Linked DNA regions of Arabidopsis thaliana. The protein of the gene in region 2 interacts with the protein of the main gene of each other region in a pairwise test. Each region holds a gene or a part of one and is shown on either strand. Other genes may lie near its edges.

Region 1 (5,421 bases), about 13 Mb from region 2:
CAAATCTCTTTAATATTTTTTGTCAATTTGTTCACAATTACAGTCTATATATTCCTCCATTTATTGATTCTGTAATTTTGCCCAAAAAATGGGGACACGACAAAACTCGATAGCGACGAGTAAAAAAGAGTGAAAGGATAGAAGGAAGGTATCGTAAGAGTAAAAGGCCCCCACCATTTTGTTTATCGACATTTCCATCAAAATCAAAACTAATTACATAAAATCGATTATCGGTGAGGTATATTTTCCAAAACTCTAAGCGAACTGAATAAAAACCTCCGAATGCTTAACTTAAATAGTACACTAACACTTAAATAAGATCATGTTATTAACAAAAGTCAAAAACCAAACACATGTTTAATGTTGAGTGTTGTTGGTCGTAGAAGCTACCACATCGATACGAGGCAACTCTCGAAACCGAAAAACAAAACCAAACATATTTCATCTATGTTGGTGTATTTTCCAAAACTCTAAGCAGTAAACTAACTTTAGAAAAAAAACGAATGTTTAAGCTTAAATCATACACTTACACCAAAATAAAATCATGTTATTAAGAGAAACATACACATAACACTTGTGAGTGTGTGTGGTCTAAGTCTCTTAGAAGACTCTACAACGATTCATAGGTAAGTCTCTAAGCGCACATGGAATCTATAAACACAAGGAAACACAATTTCATAATTCGCTAAAAGACTTCATTGGTCATCATCACTGATCATGCTTATTCACAAGGATAGATATTTGTGAATTTTCCACCCAGAAAGTTACATCAGAATACAGTAAATAAAACATGAGATTGCAAGCCTGCTTCTCTAGCATATGAAAGAATTTCGAGTCAAATTCCCAAATTCTCCAATGGTGATAGCAGAAAGGCCAAAAGCCTTTTTTTGTTTTGTTTTAAACTTGTCGAAACTACATTTGTACCTAACCATACCATAAAGCTTACCTGAAACCCAAAATCAGACAGGGTTTTCTTTTGAATTCGTGTGATTCTCTCTCATCTAGGAGGAGGACCTGTGTTCTGGTTAGCTTCTCTATCTCTACGTCTCCTACCTGAACGTCCCAGCAGAACGCGTCCTTGTCGCCTCATTCGACTTGCCAAAGAGTTACTGTTACTATGCCTCTCCTCCTCCTCCTCTTCCTCTTCTTCTTCAGAGAAATTCAGCTCACTTGTTCCTCGGTTGATTGTTGTCGAGTCATTCGAATCTGAATCAGAGCGTCTGATCTGATTACCTGATGCCCCAAAAGCATGTAACAGAAGGAAAACATTCACAAGATTCCTACCAAATGCAGCATCGATCCCATCATCATCACCACCCTCGTCTGAATCTGAACCGTTGGCATTGTTCCTTTCAATTACGTAATCACCATACACCACTGTACCAGGCATTGTCGACCTAATCGTGCTCATAACATCGTCCCGGTCATGCTCGATCTCAAGCCTTCTCCAATTCTGCTCCACATCAGGATCCACTTCACGCGGCTTCGCACTAGGGTGGTCCACTTTCATGTGTTTCCTCAGCTCTTTGAAGGTTCCAGCATAAACACAGTTCTCCTGCATACAGATCCTCTTCTTAAGATTCAAAAAGTCACGAGCAGGCTGTACGATTGTCCAACCTTTCACCTGTCCTCTACAAAGTGGGCATGTGAGATTTCCAAGCTCAGACTTATTGATCTGTTGATGGCCCGATGTCTTCAGCTTAGCTGACGCTTTCTTGTACTGATCTAAGCAATTAGAATACCGGAAACTGGTTCCACACATGTAAGGACGACATCCCTTGTCATGAGATGAGCAGAGAAGAAGGACAGCGTTGTGTGGACACTCCATGCAAACCGAACATATAACATTCTCCCAATCCCTCTTCTCTAGACACTTTGAACAATCTTCCGCAAACATGTTTCTCGCCACAAGTCTTTTAGAAGATGGAAATTTGTATGGTTTTGCTCTTGCCCTGAAGCGTCGTGAAGGAACCCTACGTCCTGCCTTCCTAGCTTTGGCCATAATCTCAAAATCACACCTGTACAAATCCTCATCAAATTAGCAAAAGAACTCCACATAAAAGTTTGTAACAATACAAGTAGATATCTCTTCATGGAAACTACATATATTTTTCCAGTTCACCATTCAGCATACAACATGATTAGTAGTAGCATCCCACACTCTGATTTGGGAACTATTTCATGATAATGCTTTACATATGCATCTATAAAAGATATTTCACAACCTCATAGCAAACAAAGAGGGAGGTTCGAATAAACATGTTGAATTCATACATCCCTGGAATTGCATGATCAACAAACAATGCTAATCTATGAAACTTAAATCAAATCAAGGAACTCATACCGAAACGAAAAGAGATCAAACAAACGAAGTAATGTACCTCACTAGCTTGGAAGCCTAGAAAAGTGATTCAAACTCACAAGATAACTAACACAATGACAAAACCAAATCGACAAGTTATGGAAAGCAAACAGATGGAGAATCAATGTATAGAGATACCAAGAATAAAAACTGGTGAGACAAAGTCTCGCATCAAATCAAATACAGTTAATAAGATTACATAAAAGAAAATAAAAAAATAACAAAAGATGTGCAGACATGTTACAAGACAACCAAAAGGAACATGCTTCACAGAACAACTCACGCGACATGACAGTGAATCAATTATTAAACAAACAAAGGAGAAACCTTAGAATCTAATCTAATCCACATGGAACAAAGACCTTTGACACATCTCAGATCCATAGAAATTTATATAAAAATGTTAGCATAAATGTATAAGAAAGAACGAAATGCTCTCGATAACCCTAGAATTCAAAAACATAAGAATACACAGATGGATTCTGACAAGTTCAATTATACAATTCAACAAATTTTCAATGACTCATGAACCTAACCAGAAATCGGAAAAGTCATAGCTACACAAAATTCAGTTTTTCCAGCGGCGCACAAGTTCGAATTACATCAATATCTCGATAATCTAACACGGACCCACTAAAATCCGTAAGAAAAAAACACTAACCCAGATCGCAAATTAGACGAATAAGAGTAGAAACGAAGACAGAGAAGACGAACACGCAATAAAGACTTCACCTTTAGGGATTGAAATGAAAAAGATTAGGGTTTCAAGACACAGCGTAAGAAGACGAATAGGCTTGAATCGAGGGAGGGAGCGAGACCGAGAGAGGTAAGGTATTCAAAGGAAGAGAGGGAAGGAGGAAGACGAGTGGGACTGCGAGATTCGCGTGGAAGCGTCTCCACTGCTCCACCAAGCTCTGGTATCGGAGTTTCTCTTTCCTTCACGTCAAGTAAAACGTCCACGCGTCCTTACAATACGTAAGACTGACGCGCGTGCTTATTGTTTTAAAGGCCCTCTAAAAGTCCCTAATGGGCCTGGCCACGAATTAGACATATACTTATCCATAGTTAAAATTTGATATTGGACAGATCAATATATGGAGGATTTCAATTAAAGGTTGACTTAGTGACACAAAGAGATACAAAGAGACAATGGGAAATGCATTTGACCTTTTCTTAATTGTAATTATAAAATTTGAACGAGAGATATGGCTGCGGCGCCGCTTGCTCTCTTGTCCCACGTCTCCTCTGTCAAATGTTTTAGTTTTCCACTATATTACTATATGCTATATTTTTCTATATCTAAAATCAGCAAAAAGTTCTTTTTTGGTAAGATAAGTAAAACAAAACACATGCATATTCTTTTGACACATGCTTTCCCGTGTAAAGACGGATCATCATATTGTTGTGTTGAAATGTTAATCCAAAGTCCATAAGCTTGATTTGTTGTTGAAATGTTAATCTTAAGTCTATAAACTTTTTGGTACTCTAATAATATAGTAACTCCTCATATTGATAGTCATTCGATGATACTGCAACATTGTGTGTTTTGACTATAGATTTTATACAATTGTGAAACATTCATTATCCAATTTGATTTCTACGGATTAACCTCTTTTTTTTGTATCCGTAATCAACTCTGAATAAAATGGATACTTATAAAAAAAAAGTACTGTACGAAAAGTATATGTGGATAATCTTACATGATTTGCAAGTAACCTTATATTGTATGCTAATTCGATTTAAGATAACGATTTTATATAGGATTAGATCTACTAATGTAAATACTCTTAATAGATAGACAATTTCAAACGGTTGTCTCGGTAATAATATTAGTACAGAGCTGATAATTTTGTTGATAAAGTTTTTGGCAAGAAAGAAATTAAGTTAATAAAAGGACAGTTAGTATGAAAATAATAAAAATTAAAAGTCTTCTAGTTGACTATTTTTAGATCCGATCCCGAGGCAAGTATCTTGTTCTCGGTATTTTTGGTACGAATTATTAATTGCTAATTTGAATTTCACGTTAGTGATTATAATAAAAATAAATAAGATATCACATATAGACATCTTCTTAAAAGCACACTAACTAAAAGAAAAAAGAAAAAAAGAGACATGTCAAGTTTCTTTTATTTTTGTGTACATGTCAAGTTTGTAAACCATAGTTTATTGCTTAAATAAATCACATAACGCTTAAAAGAATCCAAAATCCGGACTTCACATATGTCACACATATTCTATCAACATAACCTGTATGTACATCGAAATCATAGAAAGAATATTTTAGGTTAGCTAGTAGCCTAGTACTAATGGGATAAATGAAATTAGTTATCCTTCTCTTAAAGATGAATCCTTGAGATCAAGAAATTTTGTGAGATTGTTCAACCAAACTAACAATAAAACTTATATTATTTGATACAATCTAAATATAGAATCAGTTAATTCTTTCTTTTTTCTTTCTCATATATATTTATGATCTCATAACACCAATTTGACTTTAAGAAGATATCTATTGAAATTTTCAAAACAACTTTAATAGGAAAATTCAAAATATATAGACAGCGCCATATTCTAGAATATTCTTACTCATTATGAATTTTTGAATGTTTTGATTTATAGACCTATCTATGATGTTGAATTGAGTAAATAAAAAGTTTAATGGTGCGTTTGATCTCACCCATCTTTTTCTTTATTCAGTATTCAATCTTTATAACTCTACCTTATTCGAAGAGATGAATTCATCTAGCTATAAACACATCAGTGACAAGTTTAAAAAAAATATCTACACGTTCGATGGTCTTCTGTATTTCACATGGTACCATCCATGTGAATGTGATGGGAAATTTCGCAGACCCTAATGCCGGCCATAAACTGGATTTACAAAACTAAACAATGTAATACAATTTTCAAAGAAACCGGATCTAATTATCTTATTGTCACTTAATAAACAAACTATATAAGAGAAGGGGAGGAATATATGTATACACTTTTTTATGACTACTAGGATGGTAACCAAAGTCATGATTCCATAGTAACTCCGGTTTAATTGCTTCAAAGGCCAA
Region 2 (3,587 bases):
GAAATCCTTGTTTTGCAATTTTATTTTAAGATTTTAACTCCAAAAATGCAAAACAACGTCGTTTATATACACTTCATAATCCACATGTTTGCTGAGTCAGATTTGTAACGATGTTGACTAACACATGTTAGTTTGAATCTGATTTTTACACTAATTATCAAGTTCATGTATAAATTTCAAATAATTGTGCGGTTTGGGTAGTAAATCCTATACTATTAATTGGAGACTACACTCATAAGTTGTCACATTCAAAAGTGTAACAACCACATTAATATGTCATAGAAAAATATAATCATAGAATTTGATCCACTTAATAATCTCACGGGTCTACGGATTCTAAAACGGTCAAGTTATTATTTCTAAAAAAAGAATAACCAATCAAAATGATCATATAAGATTTGATATCTAACTTACCATATTAATTTGTTATTAATTATTATACTTCACCTCACATCTTTTTATCATACTATTTTTGTGAACAAAATAGATCATCATATCATCCATAAAATATAAAAATAAATAGATTTTCAGACTTAGGTAATATATATTCTTAAAAAAAATAATTCAACAAAAGTTTTAACTGACTGACGGGCCAAAATTTATATTCGATTTCGTAGAATTGTTTTTTGAAATAATATTATATACCACCATAATAAAAAAAAAAAATTTTGAACATTTATAAATATTGTAATTTAATATTTTTAAAGAATATCACAATTATTTAATAAATCAAAATTTGAAAAATTGTTAGTACTCTAATTTGATTTTTTAAAATAGATATATTTAAAATATTTATAACAGGTGACATATTTTTTTCGTCGAAAAGATAATTTTATTAATTTAAAACGTCATGATACAATTGTTCACTGGGCCATAATTGCAGGTACATACAATCAGAAAAATAACAAGTAGATCGACATCCCCTTTTAGCTAACAAGTGTGCTGCCTTATTACAACTTCTCTTCGCGAAGCTAAATTCAATTTTTCGTAATTTTGTAGCCCAGTAATGAATATTTTGATGAATTCTAACGATAAATATATCATACAATTTCCCCTTGGCCATATCAATCAGAAATTCACAATTAAACATGTTAAATATAATATATTATATGATAAAACAAGTTATAATGTTTATAATAAACGGTGGGTTAAAATTAGATGTGATGATTTAAATAAGGATTGCAACCTCTAAATATTTAAAATTTTGATTTTGTAAGTAATTTTTTCATTAGAATTCTAAAATGAAAAATACGGTTTCTATGTACGGGCTGAATTTTGTATTATTATATACCAAATATATGTTTATAATATATTCGATTATGCTAAATTATGTAATTAGCTCAAACAAACTTCTATTTCAACAACTAAAAAACTGAAAATTCAGAAATGACTTCCTAAATTAACTCAAAGTAATAGCTAAGTTCCTTAATTAATATATTTTAGATATGGTTCATTTATAATATGTTGACTTTTGATCTAACATAATTATATGCAATCTTATTTTGTGGTTGCTAAATTTTTTTCACTTACTACTATAATATATCAATTTGTTTTTAACAAAAATATAGAAATAAAAATTAAACAAAACTAAAATTTAACCCATGTTTATCCTACCAAATTATTCAGGTATGAAAATACACTTAGCCAACAGTAAAAATATGAAAATACCCTTTTCCTATTTGGTAGACGCAAAAATATCAAATATTATGGTATCATAGAAATATGTTAATTTTAGAAAGATCAATTCAATTGTAGTTGATTTGGAATTAATTTTTTCAAAATGGTAGAAAAAACCATCTTATGATTAAAACATTATGGCGTTTAAATGTATTTTGTGTGTAAATTTAATAACGTACAAACCAAAAGAACTAAACTTATATATATTTTTGTTTGTTTTATGTTTTTTAATATGTAAATGTTTATATATTGTATATGAATTACACAATGTTTGGGACTTTCTGCGCCTACCAGACTCGGAATTTTCTAGTCATTTCAACTGACCTGTTACACTCAATCTTAGCCGTCACTTAATCTCTTACTTTCATCCTAACCGTTGATTCTTCTTTTCCCCGACCCACACGACCTGTCAACTAAAAAAATCTTACAAAAGGCCCATCTTCAAACTTTCCCGGAAAATCCCTAGAAACCTCCAATGAACCATCCACGACCAAATCATTCTCTCCATTAAAATTATATAAACATTTTTGATGTTTCTTCTTAACCACTCAAATAGATGAAGAAATGGCGAGCTTAAGCACGAGCTTGCTCGGAATAAGACGAGGGTCAAGTAACAAGAACAAGGCAGAAGATAAGACCAAAAACGCAGTGTTTTGCAAGAAGCATCCAAAGCATAGACAATCACCTGGTGTTTGTTCTCTTTGTCTTAACGAGAGGCTCTCTCTTTTTATCAAAGCAGCTTCTTCACGTAGACCAAGATCTCGTCAAATCTTGTCTACTTCTTCCTCAACTACTTCCTCTCTTTCATCTGACGGTTCTTCTTCTGTCTCTTCTTGTCCTTCTCCTATTGTTGATCGCCGACGATACTTGTTAATGTCCGGAGGCAGCGGTAGAGGAGAGAAAGTGATTTCGTGGATGACGAAAAGCCGATCCGTAGCTTATAAAGTGGATGATGAGAAAAGAAGGAAGAAGAAGACAAAGACGAATAGTGGTTTCTTTTTTGGTTTGGTAATGGGCACAAAGAAGAGACAATAAGATAGTCAGTCTTGTAGATTTGTTAGATTAGATTGTTCTTGATTGTGTATTTTCTTGATTCTTTCATTTTAGATTGATTGCTACATATAGATGACTAGATCAGTTTGGTGGGTACGTGCAAGTGAGAGAGATTCTTTATACGTATTCTTGTGATTGATTCCCTAAGCTTGTAGTTTAGTGTGGTAACATAAAATGTGATAATCCAGATTTAATATGCGTTGAACATATAATTATATGCGCTAAATCAAGAGATTTGCGAACATGTTTTTCGTTGTTTATTTTCTTGAAAAAAAATATTTTCGTTGTTGATTTTAGTTGACCCCCCAAAAAAATGTTGTCGTTGTAGTTATTAATGTTCGCACACTTACTTGAAAGAAAACTTAGACTTTTCTTTGATGAAACTCGTGAGAATATAAAATGGAAAAATGTCAAAAAAAGCATGAACTTTCAAATTTGGGACGAAAAAAACGTGAACTTCCAAACTGCCAATAAAATTGTAAAGTTTTGCTTGACTTTTGATAAAATAGTCAAGTTTTGTTGACTTTGCCATTTTAAGCATGTCGTTAAGTTTCCGTTAACAAAAAAATAACAGGATTAATTTTTTGTTAGCATTTACCGTTAAAAGCAAAACGACGTCATTTTGAAATTGGAAAAAAGAAACAAAAACAAACACAAGGAAGAATCGAACTAGTGACCTTCTCAATGCTATTAAAGCTCTAAACCATTGAGCCATGTTAACGTTTTAGAAGTATTGTAAACATATATATATATACGTAATAAATTAAAAATAACCAACTAAAATAATTCAATAATAGAGAAAATTTACCCAATCCTTCTCATATAAATATAGGATTAATCTATACATGCACATAGAG
Region 3 (6,136 bases), on a different chromosome or scaffold from region 2:
CATTCAATGCAATCCATTTCCTAACATCAACATGCTTAATTTCAATGCAAGCCATTTCCTAATCATTGAGGCTCTTGATGTTTGGTTGCAGTATGGCTGGTGTTACAACAGGAAACGTGGGATACCTTGCGAATGCTATACATGAAGTCACCAAGTCATCTTAAATCATTTACTTACATGTTTCAGCCAAACATACAAATTTTGTTTGAAGAGTCAATAAGACAGGAGGCTAGATTTGTACTTCTGCAATTGGTTTTGTGGGAACTGAAAGTTTACCCATAAACAGTAATTTATTAGCGCATTTTTTCGTTAGCTGGGCAATAAAAGCAAAGCCTAAACGATGGATTTTTGGATATACAAAATTCGGATTGTTTTCTTTCTTCTCAATTGCTCTTTTTGTGCTTGTTTCCTTTCAACGTTACAATGCCAATGCTGGCAAAATTTTATCCTCAAGCTCATTGATTTCAAATGTTTTTAGTTTTTACTTTTACCGTAGGCAACTTTAGATTATCATGATTTCATTTCATCATTTCGGTTATTTGACTTGCAGTTTGGAATCGATTTTGTTTCATTTCAAGGACAAAAACATATACAAATACTGATACAGGAGAAAAGTATCTCTCTACAAGTCAGTGAACAAAAAGAATATAATAGGACACAATCATCGCCTCCTGATTTCTCAAAAAGCTGAATTGGCCACGTCTAAGGAGGAGACATCATCTCTTCTCAGAAGCTGATACTTAGTTAATCAGAGAGAAGTAAATCTCCCTCTCCTTCATTCCATAAGGCGGCATTTTGCTCTGGAAAAGCATCTCGAGATCGCTTTTCTAGGGTCCAGCTTGAAATGGAAAGCCACCATTCATCTGTCGCCTCACATGCTCTGGTATTAGCCTGTTGATAAGCTCCGGTGAAGCCCCAGACAACTGTTTCAATAGTCAAAGAGAGAGCTAACAGATTGAGTAACTGTATGCACATTCAGTTATGTTTGGTTGAAGGAAAAGTGATTTTGGAATGGTTTAACATACCTCTTGTTTGAAGTTGAACAACGGTGGTAGAGGTCGGCCATTTGGAAGACGAGCATTTGGCTCACGGAGTTCATTGAAAAACGGATGCGCACATGCCTCGAGCTTCAGACGGCAAACAAACAAGTCAGTTGAAAAACAACATTTCACTCCTTCATTGAACAGTGTATGGTCCAAAGAAGCCAGAGAGAACCACTGTAACAATTAAGAGTACTTGGTTTAGAAATACCAACCGCAGTGCAACGTAGACTTGGTGAGTATTGAAGAAGCCGAGATGCAAGGTCAATGGCTTCCGGAGGCATCCGCTTGTGGAAAACCTGGAGGTCATAGAGCAGTTGTGCACCGTGTTAGCTTCTTTTCCATGAATGTTGTTTAGGTAGAGAAGTAAGCAATTGTATGATTAGAAAGAAGTTCGAAAGTGACATGCATATATATATATTACCTTATGCCAAGGGTGGGCTTTGATTTGTGGGAATCTGAAGTCTGTGTAGTTTGGGTTCATGCACCGGATTTCTTCGCGAGTTGGAGTACCAAGAACCTAAACCAACACAGCACATCATGAGCACAGACAGGAAATGACGCCAAAACAAAATATAATAAAAGAAGAGTTCACCTTTATGATCTCCACTAGCTGGTCCACAGAATTTTCTCCCGGGAATAACGGCTGTGAAGATAAATAATACCACATTGTTTACAGAAGATTTTGGAGAGATGCTTTAGTTCTCAAGATACTCAACAGGTTAGAAATTTACACTAACCTGCCCAAGAAGTAGCTCTGCCAGAACACAACCAGCAGACCATATATCAATGGATGATGTATACTCTGTGGCACCAAAGATGAGTTCTGGAGCTCGGTAATACCGAGAGCAGATATATGATATGTTTGCTTCACCTTTCACCTAATATAAAAAGCCAAATGTTGCAAATATCAGGCTAACAGAGAAATATCTGAAACTGCATCCATACTTATGTAAATTACTTGCATAATATTCACTTAATTGGAGTTTTTAACTACTGCATGCAAAGACACAAGCACAGTGGAAAAGACAAACAACAAATGGGGTAAATAAAAGTCTAAACCTCTTACCAGTACTTTTGCACTTCCAAAATCACAGAGCTTACACTGATGGGTGAGGGGATCAACCTACAGAACATACAGAGAATAAGATTACAATCTAGTCAAGGTTACCAAAGACAAAACCCACAATAGATCAACGTACCAAAAGATTTTGTGGTTTCACATCTCTGTGGCAGACACCAGGAGCAGTATGGATATAAGCCAAGCCTCTGAAGATCTGCACAACATATTTTATAAACAGTTTTAGGATAAACACAACAGAGTAAAGAGTATTTATTGGGGAAAGAGTAGATAACAATGCATACTTGGTATGTGTAAAGTTTGACATAGAAGATAGGCATCCGCTGGTTTGAACTAGTATAGTGCTTCAAAACCCGGTACAATGTCTCTGGTACATACTCCATAACGAGATTGAGGAAGAGCTCATCTCTAGTCGTTGTAGAGAAGAAACAATGCTTCAAGGAAACCACATTTGGATGGTCCATTAGTCGCATTAATTGCAACTCTCGGTTTTTATAACGGCGATCTTGCAAAACCTTCTTAATGGCTACTGATTCTCCAGTTTCCAAGCATTTTGCCTAGAATGGTAAGTTAACAATCTGATCAGAAAGGAAAGACAAAAAGCCATTTGCCTGTAGACAGTGACAAGCACAATGATACCTGGAATACAATTCCGAATGATCCTGTTCCAACAACACGTTCGGCCATGTAACTAATGGTCTGTAAAGGCCAGAGGGATGAAAACATTAGAGAGTAGAACTTAGAGTTGGAAAAAAGGAGCCACAAAGTCAAAAGATGTAAAAACCTATTTATTTATTTGTTGAATTTCTATAGATTAATCCAAACCTTAGGTAACCTTATACATGGTAGTGTGCTCGAGCAATAACTATGATTTAAATCATTACAAAGATTTAATAAACAACAGAATCCAACCTGTTTAGGTTCACCATTTTTGCCTCCAATTGTAGTAGAAATTATGTGACCGGTAACAGCATCATTTCCTTCTATAACAGCAGCAGACATTTCCTAAAATCAAACGTGAACATATTATTACAGGAGTTAAAACTATTCTTGTCTACAAAGAATGAAGGAAAGTAGTAACAATTAGTGTTTCCTCCGATGTATATTGATTGAATAGACAAATAATTCAAAATATTCGAATCGTTTTTCAATCAGTTCTATCAAGTGTATGAAATCTTCCAGAATATAAACTTTCCTTTAAAATAGCATTCAAATCTAAGAACAGTCAATGCCCAATTTACAGAGAATTCAATCATGTAAGATAACTAAATGTAAATCTAAATGATGTCGCAAGTTCCTGTTGACCAGAGGCTAACAAAATTCAGAAAACAAATGCATACTACTATACTAGTTGTTACAGGTAAAGGAAAGCTAAAAAATGATAACTGTAACTTCAAGAGTAGAGAAAGATTAAGATGTCAACCATTTTGTGGACATAAGAAACTTGTACAAAATCAAAAGATACAATCAGACACAACATGGAACAGACACTGTCAGGTGGAGAAACAAAGCAAAAGAACATAAAACAAAAGAAAAGAGTTCAGAATCAATACAGAATGGGCCAAGAATCATATAATCTAAACGAATACTCCAAAAACTGTCAGGAAAAAGAAGAAAAAAAACTCGAAGATACACAAGTACTTTGTGAAGTCAAAAGTGTTAAATTTAACACCCAAACTATGAGGTTACTTCTTTAGGGTTCAAAGGGTTATTACTAGAAAATTTCTGTTATTTACCCTAATTTCTTCTTTAGGGTTCGAAGGTTTACTGCTACTAATCAAAAACAGCTCAAGAGATCAATCTTCACTACAAAAAAGGTTGAAAATTTCAGCTGAAGAAAAGTAAAACTAGCTACTATGAAGTCAAAATGCACAATCTTCAATGAGCTCAAATCAAGAACGCTGACTAAAAAGGAACACAGATCGATTGACTAACACATCGAAACAAGCAAAATCCGAGCTAGATCTAGAAAACCCACAAAACGAAAATTGAAATACATTGTTCACGAAAGAATCAATCAGAGAGAGAGAGAGAGAGAGAGAGAGAGAGAGAGAGAGAGAGAGAGAGAGAGAGATACACACAAACGTTTCAAGTTATAAGAGAAGAAAAAACTAACCTTGTCGTTGTCTATATCGGGACGACGTTTCAAAGAATCTCCGCCGTGAAGATGCGGCGGCTGAGGAGCTAAAGACGGAGGCTGAGGAGGCCCCAATGGTATCGAAGTCATGTGCTTTTACAGCTCTAACTTCTCTCTCTCACTGAAAGAGTAAAGACTATTTTGTTCTCTCTCTATTACCTGGTGTTCTGTCTAAACTTGAGAAAATTTTTAAAGATAAAGAGGAAACCCACGCGTAAGTTTAGCGCGTGATTCTTACGCTCCAATGAAACACTAATCTGTTTATTAAGTAGTCATTATTTAATAAGCACAGTGATTGGTGAAGTGAAAAGTCTGATAACTCCGTAATAATACCATAATGCAATTTATTGTGGAGATTACTACATTCACACAATCAGATAATTTGGGTAAACTAACAACAACTACTCTCTTTCAGATTAATAGTTGTTTTGGAGTTTTACCACAATTTTAAAAACTCTTTAATCTATCTACTAATATAAATTGTTTACAGTATTCATTCTAGTTTTTTTAACAGTTTTTATTCGCTATCGGTAAACTCTTTGAATGGAAAAATATTGGCTTACGTTACGTATGTGTTTTCTGAATCTTGAATCTTCTAAGTTTTTGTCATTTTAGAAAAAAAATTGGTGTTCTCTGGAGCCAGATGGCTACATATTTGACTTTTAATATTTGGTCCAATTTAAAGGATGGATAAAAGTCTTAGAATAAGGGGAGTGGACTTAGCACATGGACGAATGACGATCATAATCAATTTCTTGGAACATTTTGTTTAATAATAACTCGCTATTTGGATTCCAACGACCAACACTATGGACAAATAACATCAAAACAATGTTAAAATATATACATACAAAAACTATGATTGAGATATATTTTTCTCTTGTATACATCATGACATGATATATTTACGTCGAAATTTTCTTTTAACATGATATGGTGATAAAATTATTCATTAAGATGATTAGTTTGTGCAGAAAAAATACAAACGATGGAACTATTAAAGTAGAATGAAACTGATAGTAGGATGATGCAAGAATCGGATCCGATCATACTAATATCAAATAGATATTTGATTTTACTTTAGCATAACGATAATAAGATTAGGCACATGTTGTTCTTTAGGTAATGCCTAGATGTTCTAAGCAAATTGGTCATAAATTCAAATACGTACGGAAACAGTACCCAAGTGATATATCTACTTATCTAGCAACCCCCTCCTCCTCCACCACCATCACCACTGCAACCGCCAAAAACGCCACCTTTACAGCAGCAACAGCAACTTGAATCCTTCTTCTTTTCCTTCTTTTTGGAGCAAGCAAATACGGCCATGGTTACAAGTAACAACGACAGAAGAAACATGAAAATCAAGAACAAAACACCCCCAAAAGCAGCAGCTTCTTTCATGTCAAACTAACTGATAAAGAAACCTCTCACTCTCTCTCTATATTGTTTTTTAAATTTCTCTTCACTCATATATTTGCATGTGATCTTCCATGCCACTATATATATAAAGAGAATAAGAGATGAAATGTGAACATTTTCACACCAATATTGTTTCAATAATTCCTCTAGTGACTAATTTAGTCAAGGTATTCAATTCAATTCAATTCTGCAGCTTTCAAGTTTCCTTTCTAGTGAGCTCTATATTTTGAAACCATAATTACAAAAGAACGAAAAAAAAAAGTCTATTAGTAGAGAATAAAGAAGCAGTGTCACATGGAATTATTGCCATGAAATCTCCGTTAACATGAGCTGTACATCACTTCAACAAGAAACCTCTCCTTAAGTGCCAGACAATATTTAAGACATTTATCTCCATTGCTTTCTCTTTATCATGGAATCTTTTTGATTCAGATTTACACAAATAGTTAAAGACAA
Region 4 (6,035 bases), on a different chromosome or scaffold from region 2:
AAACGTAAGCAAGTGAATTTAAATAGCTGTACGGTGGTGGGCTTTATTTTAAAGCCCTGGCCCGTTATGGCTAATGATTCCTAGATCTTATAACATTAATTGGGCCTACAACAATATCATGTGCCATTATTTATCCGTTCATTTTGCAAAGACTTTAGATTGATACTGCACTAATAAGCCCATAAGGCAAGTGAAAAATGTCATTTAATCCCCCAACTTTCAAAAAATGGTCATTTTATATATCAACTTCGTATGTGGCCGTTTAAAACATGAACTAAAGGTTGACTAATTTTTTAAACATGATCTTTCGTTGACCAGACTAAAATAGACATGCCGTTATCAGTCATTAACGGAACTTCTAATGTCCGTTATCATCCGTTAATTTTATTAGTCAAGTTTCAAATTGTGGCCATTTTAAACATCAACTTCTTATTTGGCCATTTAAAACATGAAGTAAACGTTGACTACCATTTAAGACATGAAAAATTCGTTGACCAGGCCAAAATAGACATGTCTTTATCAGTAGAACCTAGAAACTCGTTAATGACTGCTAATCTATCCAAAACAACGTCGTTTGAGAATAATCGAAAGAACATAAAGATTTTTTCCATATGAAATTTCCATATCAAAAAGTTTTAAGCAGAACCCAAGAACATAGTTTGATATAGAGATAACCGCAGTGCCAGTAATTGGAAGCAAATAAAGGTGTTTTCGTTTATATATTTGTTTTAAATTTTAAAAGGAATCATGGAAGCAAATTGAAGACTCATTATAAGATTGTTCGTCTTGTTTGAGCGGTTGTAGAAATAGATTTGGGGAACTGGAGTTTCATTTAGAAAACAATCCTGATTTTCTTTGGATTATTCTCAAAACAAAGTCATTTTAGGGATACTAATAGAGTCGTTAACAAGTGATAATGAATGTTATAAGTTCTTTTAATGAATGATGACAACATGTTTATTTTGGCTTGGTCAACGAATTTCTCATGTTTTAAATGGTAGTTAACTCTTAGTTCATGTTTAAAATGGCCACATATAAAGTCGATGTTTAAAATGACCACAATTTAAAACTTGACTAATAAAGTCGTTAACGGATGATAACAGAAGTTAGAAGTTCCGTTAATGACTGATAACGGCATGTCTATTTTGGCCTGGTTAACGAATAATCATGTTTTAAAAGTTAGTTAACGTTTAGTTCATGTTTTAAACGGCAGCATACGAAGTTGACGTATAAAATGACCATTTTTTGAAAGTTGGGGGATTAATTGACATCTTTTCCCATAAGACAATGGTTCAATCAGTAATAACCACATCCTCATTAACATTCCTCAGATAGTAAACTAACCAATATATGTTTTATTTTACTTCGTTTCTCAATCTAATAGATTACTTGAATTGTTTATAGATTACCTCATAGGATGATGATAATTAATAGTTTAAAATTTTGAACAGAGACATTATTAAAAATGTCTAAAAACAGTAAGAAATTACTAAAATTATCTGTTGCAGGAGCAAAAAGAGGGAAGTGGTCAAAGATGGTCAAATGAAAATAATACAGTGCCCGCATATTCCGCGTGGGCTTAGATGCAATCATTCAAAACCCCCAAATCCTTTTGCCTAATCCCGGGATACGTAAATAGACAAACAATACAGGGGTACTTTAGTAATCACAGCTTGTCGAAATCGGGCGGATTCATCCTAACCCGTCGGATGAGCTGCTGCGATAAATCAACGGTGAGGAGTCAATGTTTGACCAAAAAAAGAGTAGAGAGAGATAGAGAAAGAGAACGAGGCTGGCATGATTGGCTTTGCCCACGAGAGAGAGAGAAAGATTCCACCTGGGTTGGGTCGTGAAGAAAGAGAAGAAGAAACCGAAGAAGCTCGAAGAAGAACGAAGGAGATTCTTCCTTTCCCCAGATTTTTCGTTTGAAGAAGAATCGAAAAACTTAGATTTTTGGTTTTGCTTTCGGAGTTATTCGAATTTGAAATATCTGAATCTGTTGATTCATTTATTCTCCGCATGAAGCTGTGTTGGTGAAGTTTTTCGGAGATTTAGGGTTTCTGAGTTGTTCCTCGTTTGGTTGGTGAATAAAGCGAAGATGAACGTGATGCGTCGTCTCAAGAGCATTGCTTCGGGTCGGACCTCCATTTCTTCGGATCCTGTAAGTATCCATTTTCAATGTCTCTCGTTTCAAGATCAGATTGATTTTATATTTCTGATTGTTGAAATTTTTCTCTCATTCTCATCCAGAAATTACGGATTGATGTCGTTTATAGTATGTTACAAGTCAAATTTAAGCTTTTGAGATCTTTAGTTTTAGATATTCTAGTAAATGCTTATGTTTTTGTATGAATTTGATTATCTCTGCTGTTTCATTGATTTTGGATGAGTATGTTGATGTTGACCTGACTAATTTCGTGTTTTTGGTGTTTGTTTTAGGGTGGGGACTATGCGTTGAAGAGAGCTAAGCTGGATCAAGAGAACGACAACTTGTGTGTTGATCCAATGCAGGTTGACCAAAATAGTTCTTGTTTTGAGATGAAAGCTGACGTTTTGTCACAAGAAAGTGTTGCTGGAACGTCAAATGTGCCTGCTGTATCGGAAAAACCCGTGGATGATCAGCTTCCCGATGTTATGATCGAAATGAAGATTAGAGACGAGCGAAATGCCAACCGCGAGGATAAGGTGAGTTGCTTAATCAATGTATATATCGTCGTCGTGATCTCCATTAGCCACTGCTCACATCTTCATTTGGCTTGTGAAGGATATGGAAACAACTGTTGTAAACGGCAGTGGGACCGAAACGGGACAAGTTATTACGACGACAGTTGGGGGTAGAGATGGAAAGCCAAAGCAGGTCATTCAACTAACTTTTTTTCTGATTGCCGTTGTGTTTGAGAAAAGCTATTAATCATGATAGTCATTTCTTTTATGAAAAGATTGTTTCTCTTTTCACTTCTGTTGGGTGTATCTTTAATTTACTCTTTCTTTCTTGTTTCAGACTATCTCATACATGGCCCAGCGAGTGGTTGGAACCGGCTCATTCGGAGTAGTGTTCCAGGTAGGTGGAAATTCTTATAGCAGGAACATAACTAATCCTTAACTATTTGTGTTCCCAGAATTTGACTTTCTGTCTGATTTTTGGATAGGCCAAGTGCCTGGAAACGGGTGAACAAGTTGCAATTAAGAAGGTTCTGCAGGATAAAAGATACAAGAACAGAGAACTTCAGATCATGCGTTTGCAAGACCATCCCAACGTTGTGCGGCTGAGGCATTCTTTCTTTTCAACAACTGACAAGGATGAGCTGTATCTCAACCTTGTCCTTGAGTATGTTCCCGAAACTGTATACAGAGCATCGAAGCACTATACCAAAATGAATCAGCATATGCCAATTATCTTTGTTCAGCTCTATACTTATCAGGTGAGTTCTATTAGCTCTCCGGTTACTCGTTTCTAGTAATCTGTGTAGCATAAAGCTACAAATACATAGGAAATTTATAATTTCACTTATGCTGATTTTGTCATTTCTGTTGCTTTGTTGGATATCAGATTTGCCGTGCGCTGAACTACTTACATCGCGTGGTTGGGGTGTGTCACCGTGACATTAAGCCACAAAATCTACTGGTATAGTGTGAATAATTTCTGCTTAAAGGTTGGTAAGACGTATGAAAGGATAATTCATTGATTCTCTTATGATGTGGCTTTCATAGGTTAATCCCCAAACTCATCAATTAAAAATATGCGATTTTGGAAGCGCAAAGATGTTGGTATGTTCATTTTTTTTTGATGAGTTCTTGGAGATGAGTTATCATTTGAATAATGATGGCTAACACCCTTTGCGTCTCAGGTACCCGGTGAACCTAACATATCCTATATATGCTCCCGGTACTACAGGGCCCCAGAACTTATATTTGGGGCGACAGAGTATACCAATGCCATTGACATGTGGTCCGGCGGTTGTGTCATGGCAGAGCTTTTACTTGGTCAAGTAAGTATATTATACATTGTAGAGTTTCGGTTATGATGAACCATTTTATTTTGATTGATCAGTTTTCATTATTACTTCGAAATAACATTTAATCTGATAACAACTGTTGATTTTCTACCCGTAGCCACTGTTTCCCGGGGAAAGTGGCATTGATCAGCTGGTGGAGATAATCAAGGTACTTAACCTGATCCCTCGTGTTCCTTCATCTCTCTTCTATATTTAATTTACTAGTTTACTCATCTGTACATCTACCAGATTCTTGGGACGCCTACAAGAGAAGAAATACGGTGTATGAATCCGAATTACACAGAGTTCAAGTTTCCTCAAATCAAAGCTCACCCGTGGCACAAGGTTTGTTAAATAATCGCAGGTGCCTCTTTGGTGCGTGTGCTTGTTCAAATGAAATTTAATGTAGCATATAACTCTTCAGATTTTCCACAAGCGAATGCCACCTGAAGCAGTAGACCTCGTCTCAAGACTCCTTCAGTACTCACCAAACCTTCGTTGCACTGCAGTAAGACTAAATCCTGCTGGACACCACAAAACTATATAATCTCCTTGGCTGATTTGGAATTTTCTAACTCAAATTCTACAAAACACTTTTTTTCCATTTGTTAAGTTGGAAGCTTGTGCACACCCCTTCTTTGATGACTTACGGGATCCAAATGTTTCACTGCCAAATGGAAGAGCACTGCCTCCATTGTTTAACTTCACTGCCCAAGGTCAGTACATATATTATCTTTTACCTTAGCTTCATCCTTACAAAAACTGTGAAGTTATCATTAGCCGACTTTGTTTAGATTTCACAATCATATGTGAAGAGTAGAAATTGCAGCAGAATACAAGAAATGTTTTGACGGATTGGGTCTACATTTGGTTCTGTCACATTGATTTGTTGCCATTGTATGTGACTATTCAGAACTTGCGGGTGCATCAACAGAGCTGCGACAGCGTCTAATTCCAGCACATTGCCAGGGAACGGGAAGTAGCTCTTAGGATCATTTATAGCGTGTCCAAATCCAGCTTTCTTTCTCTCCCTCTATTTACTGCAGTGTGTACATCAATTTTGAACCACTTCTGCTTCCAAGCTTTTGTCGCCGGAGGAGAGATTGGAAATCTGTACGCCGGGACCTGATGAGGTGTGAAATAACTGGGGTCATGAAGCTTCTTCTTCTTCTTCTGACTGGCTTTTCTCTCAATTTGCTATCCTTGTTATTTTCACCTTCACTTTCATTTTTTTGTTTTTTTTTCCACAAATCTGACCCCCCTTATATGTTTGGTGTATCATTTTTATGTGTTTGTAATCCATCAAGATCATTTTCCCTTGCCCTAATATTGCAAGCTAAGATTCCGTTTCATGTTCCTCTCTAAGATGGTTTTTGGGTGAACAAATAAACTCTTAACGACATTTTTCTATTGTATCTCAGGACTGGCACAGATTCCAGGTAAGCTATTTAACTGAAATGCACATGTTGTTTAATTAAAGTTGAAAAGCGAGGAAGATGAATGAAGAGTTAACTAACTTCACAATCGGACGAGTAATTAAACTATACTGTAGGAGTCGAAAGTCCTGTAACTTTGACACGAATTTGTGTTTGGTTAAAATTTTGAATAATTTACTCAACTATTGGAATTTAACCACAAAAACCCCTTTCACTGTCGAATATCTCTTTAGTCAAAAGACAAGAGTTCATACATGTTTAGTCTGTGTGACCTATAGATCAAAAGAAACAAAACCCTCTTTTGGTTTCTGCAATAATGGGTTTTTTAGTACAATAAAGTTTCAGGAAATGGATTTCAAAGCTAATAAAGGAAATGACTCCTTCAATTCAATGCCCATAAAAAGAGGCACAAGAAGGGCAAAACACCTCATACAACCAGAAGAAGAGGGTCTATAGTTTTGCATTGCTCTTGAGTGTTTTCCCATCATTGTGCTCAAAAGATTCATACCCCTTTTACTTGGTAAGATGTTCTTTCATCTTTCCCAACAAGAAAAATCTTAAATGCTATATATCTTACTTCACTCGGGGAACTCCATTCATCTTT

The links.
Region 1: the proteins of AT1G35210 (region 2) and AT1G68140 interact in a two-hybrid assay, tested with the Arabidopsis thaliana proteins (one large-scale study listed by BioGRID).
Region 3: the proteins of AT1G35210 (region 2) and SKdZeta interact in a two-hybrid assay, tested with the Arabidopsis thaliana proteins (one large-scale study listed by BioGRID).
Region 4: the proteins of AT1G35210 (region 2) and SK32 interact in a two-hybrid assay, tested with the Arabidopsis thaliana proteins (one large-scale study listed by BioGRID).

Annotation. Positions count from the first base shown.
Region 1 is NC_003070.9:25,538,413-25,543,833, forward strand, and holds AT1G68140 (zinc finger/BTB domain protein, putative (DUF1644)), read right to left. Parts: upstream 3,412-5,421; 5' UTR 3,095-3,411; exon of another isoform or gene 2,382-3,094; intron 2,019-2,381; 5' UTR 2,003-2,018; coding exon 998-2,002; 3' UTR 512-997; downstream 1-511.
Region 2 is NC_003070.9:12,896,039-12,899,625, reverse strand, and holds AT1G35210 (uncharacterized protein), read left to right. Parts: upstream 1-1,950; 5' UTR 1,951-2,241; coding exon 2,242-2,712; 3' UTR 2,713-3,044; downstream 3,045-3,587.
Region 3 is NC_003071.7:13,181,523-13,187,658, forward strand, and holds SKdZeta (SHAGGY-related protein kinase dZeta), read right to left. Parts: upstream 4,452-6,136; 5' UTR 4,349-4,451; coding exon 4,238-4,348; intron 3,127-4,237; coding exon 3,034-3,126; intron 2,821-3,033; coding exon 2,761-2,820; intron 2,679-2,760; coding exon 2,406-2,678; intron 2,318-2,405; coding exon 2,243-2,317; intron 2,167-2,242; coding exon 2,110-2,166; intron 1,922-2,109; coding exon 1,781-1,921; intron 1,687-1,780; coding exon 1,636-1,686; intron 1,561-1,635; coding exon 1,465-1,560; intron 1,340-1,464; coding exon 1,256-1,339; intron 1,128-1,255; coding exon 1,026-1,127; intron 924-1,025; coding exon 828-923; 3' UTR 503-827; downstream 1-502. Other genes in the region: ASP1 (aspartate aminotransferase 1), read left to right, coding at 92-164; AT2G30985 (uncharacterized protein), read left to right, coding at 5,384-5,542. UniProt on the Arabidopsis thaliana protein: May mediate extracellular signals to regulate transcription in differentiating cells.
Region 4 is NC_003075.7:293,066-299,100, reverse strand, and holds SK32 (shaggy-like protein kinase 32), read left to right. Parts: upstream 1-1,621; 5' UTR 1,622-2,098; coding exon 2,099-2,161; intron 2,162-2,439; coding exon 2,440-2,685; intron 2,686-2,764; coding exon 2,765-2,857; intron 2,858-3,001; coding exon 3,002-3,061; intron 3,062-3,149; coding exon 3,150-3,422; intron 3,423-3,550; coding exon 3,551-3,625; intron 3,626-3,711; coding exon 3,712-3,768; intron 3,769-3,848; coding exon 3,849-3,989; intron 3,990-4,113; coding exon 4,114-4,164; intron 4,165-4,244; coding exon 4,245-4,340; intron 4,341-4,419; coding exon 4,420-4,503; intron 4,504-4,608; coding exon 4,609-4,711; intron 4,712-4,908; coding exon 4,909-4,985; 3' UTR 4,986-5,513; downstream 5,514-6,035. Other genes in the region: BSK3 (BR-signaling kinase 3), read right to left, coding at 6,005-6,035.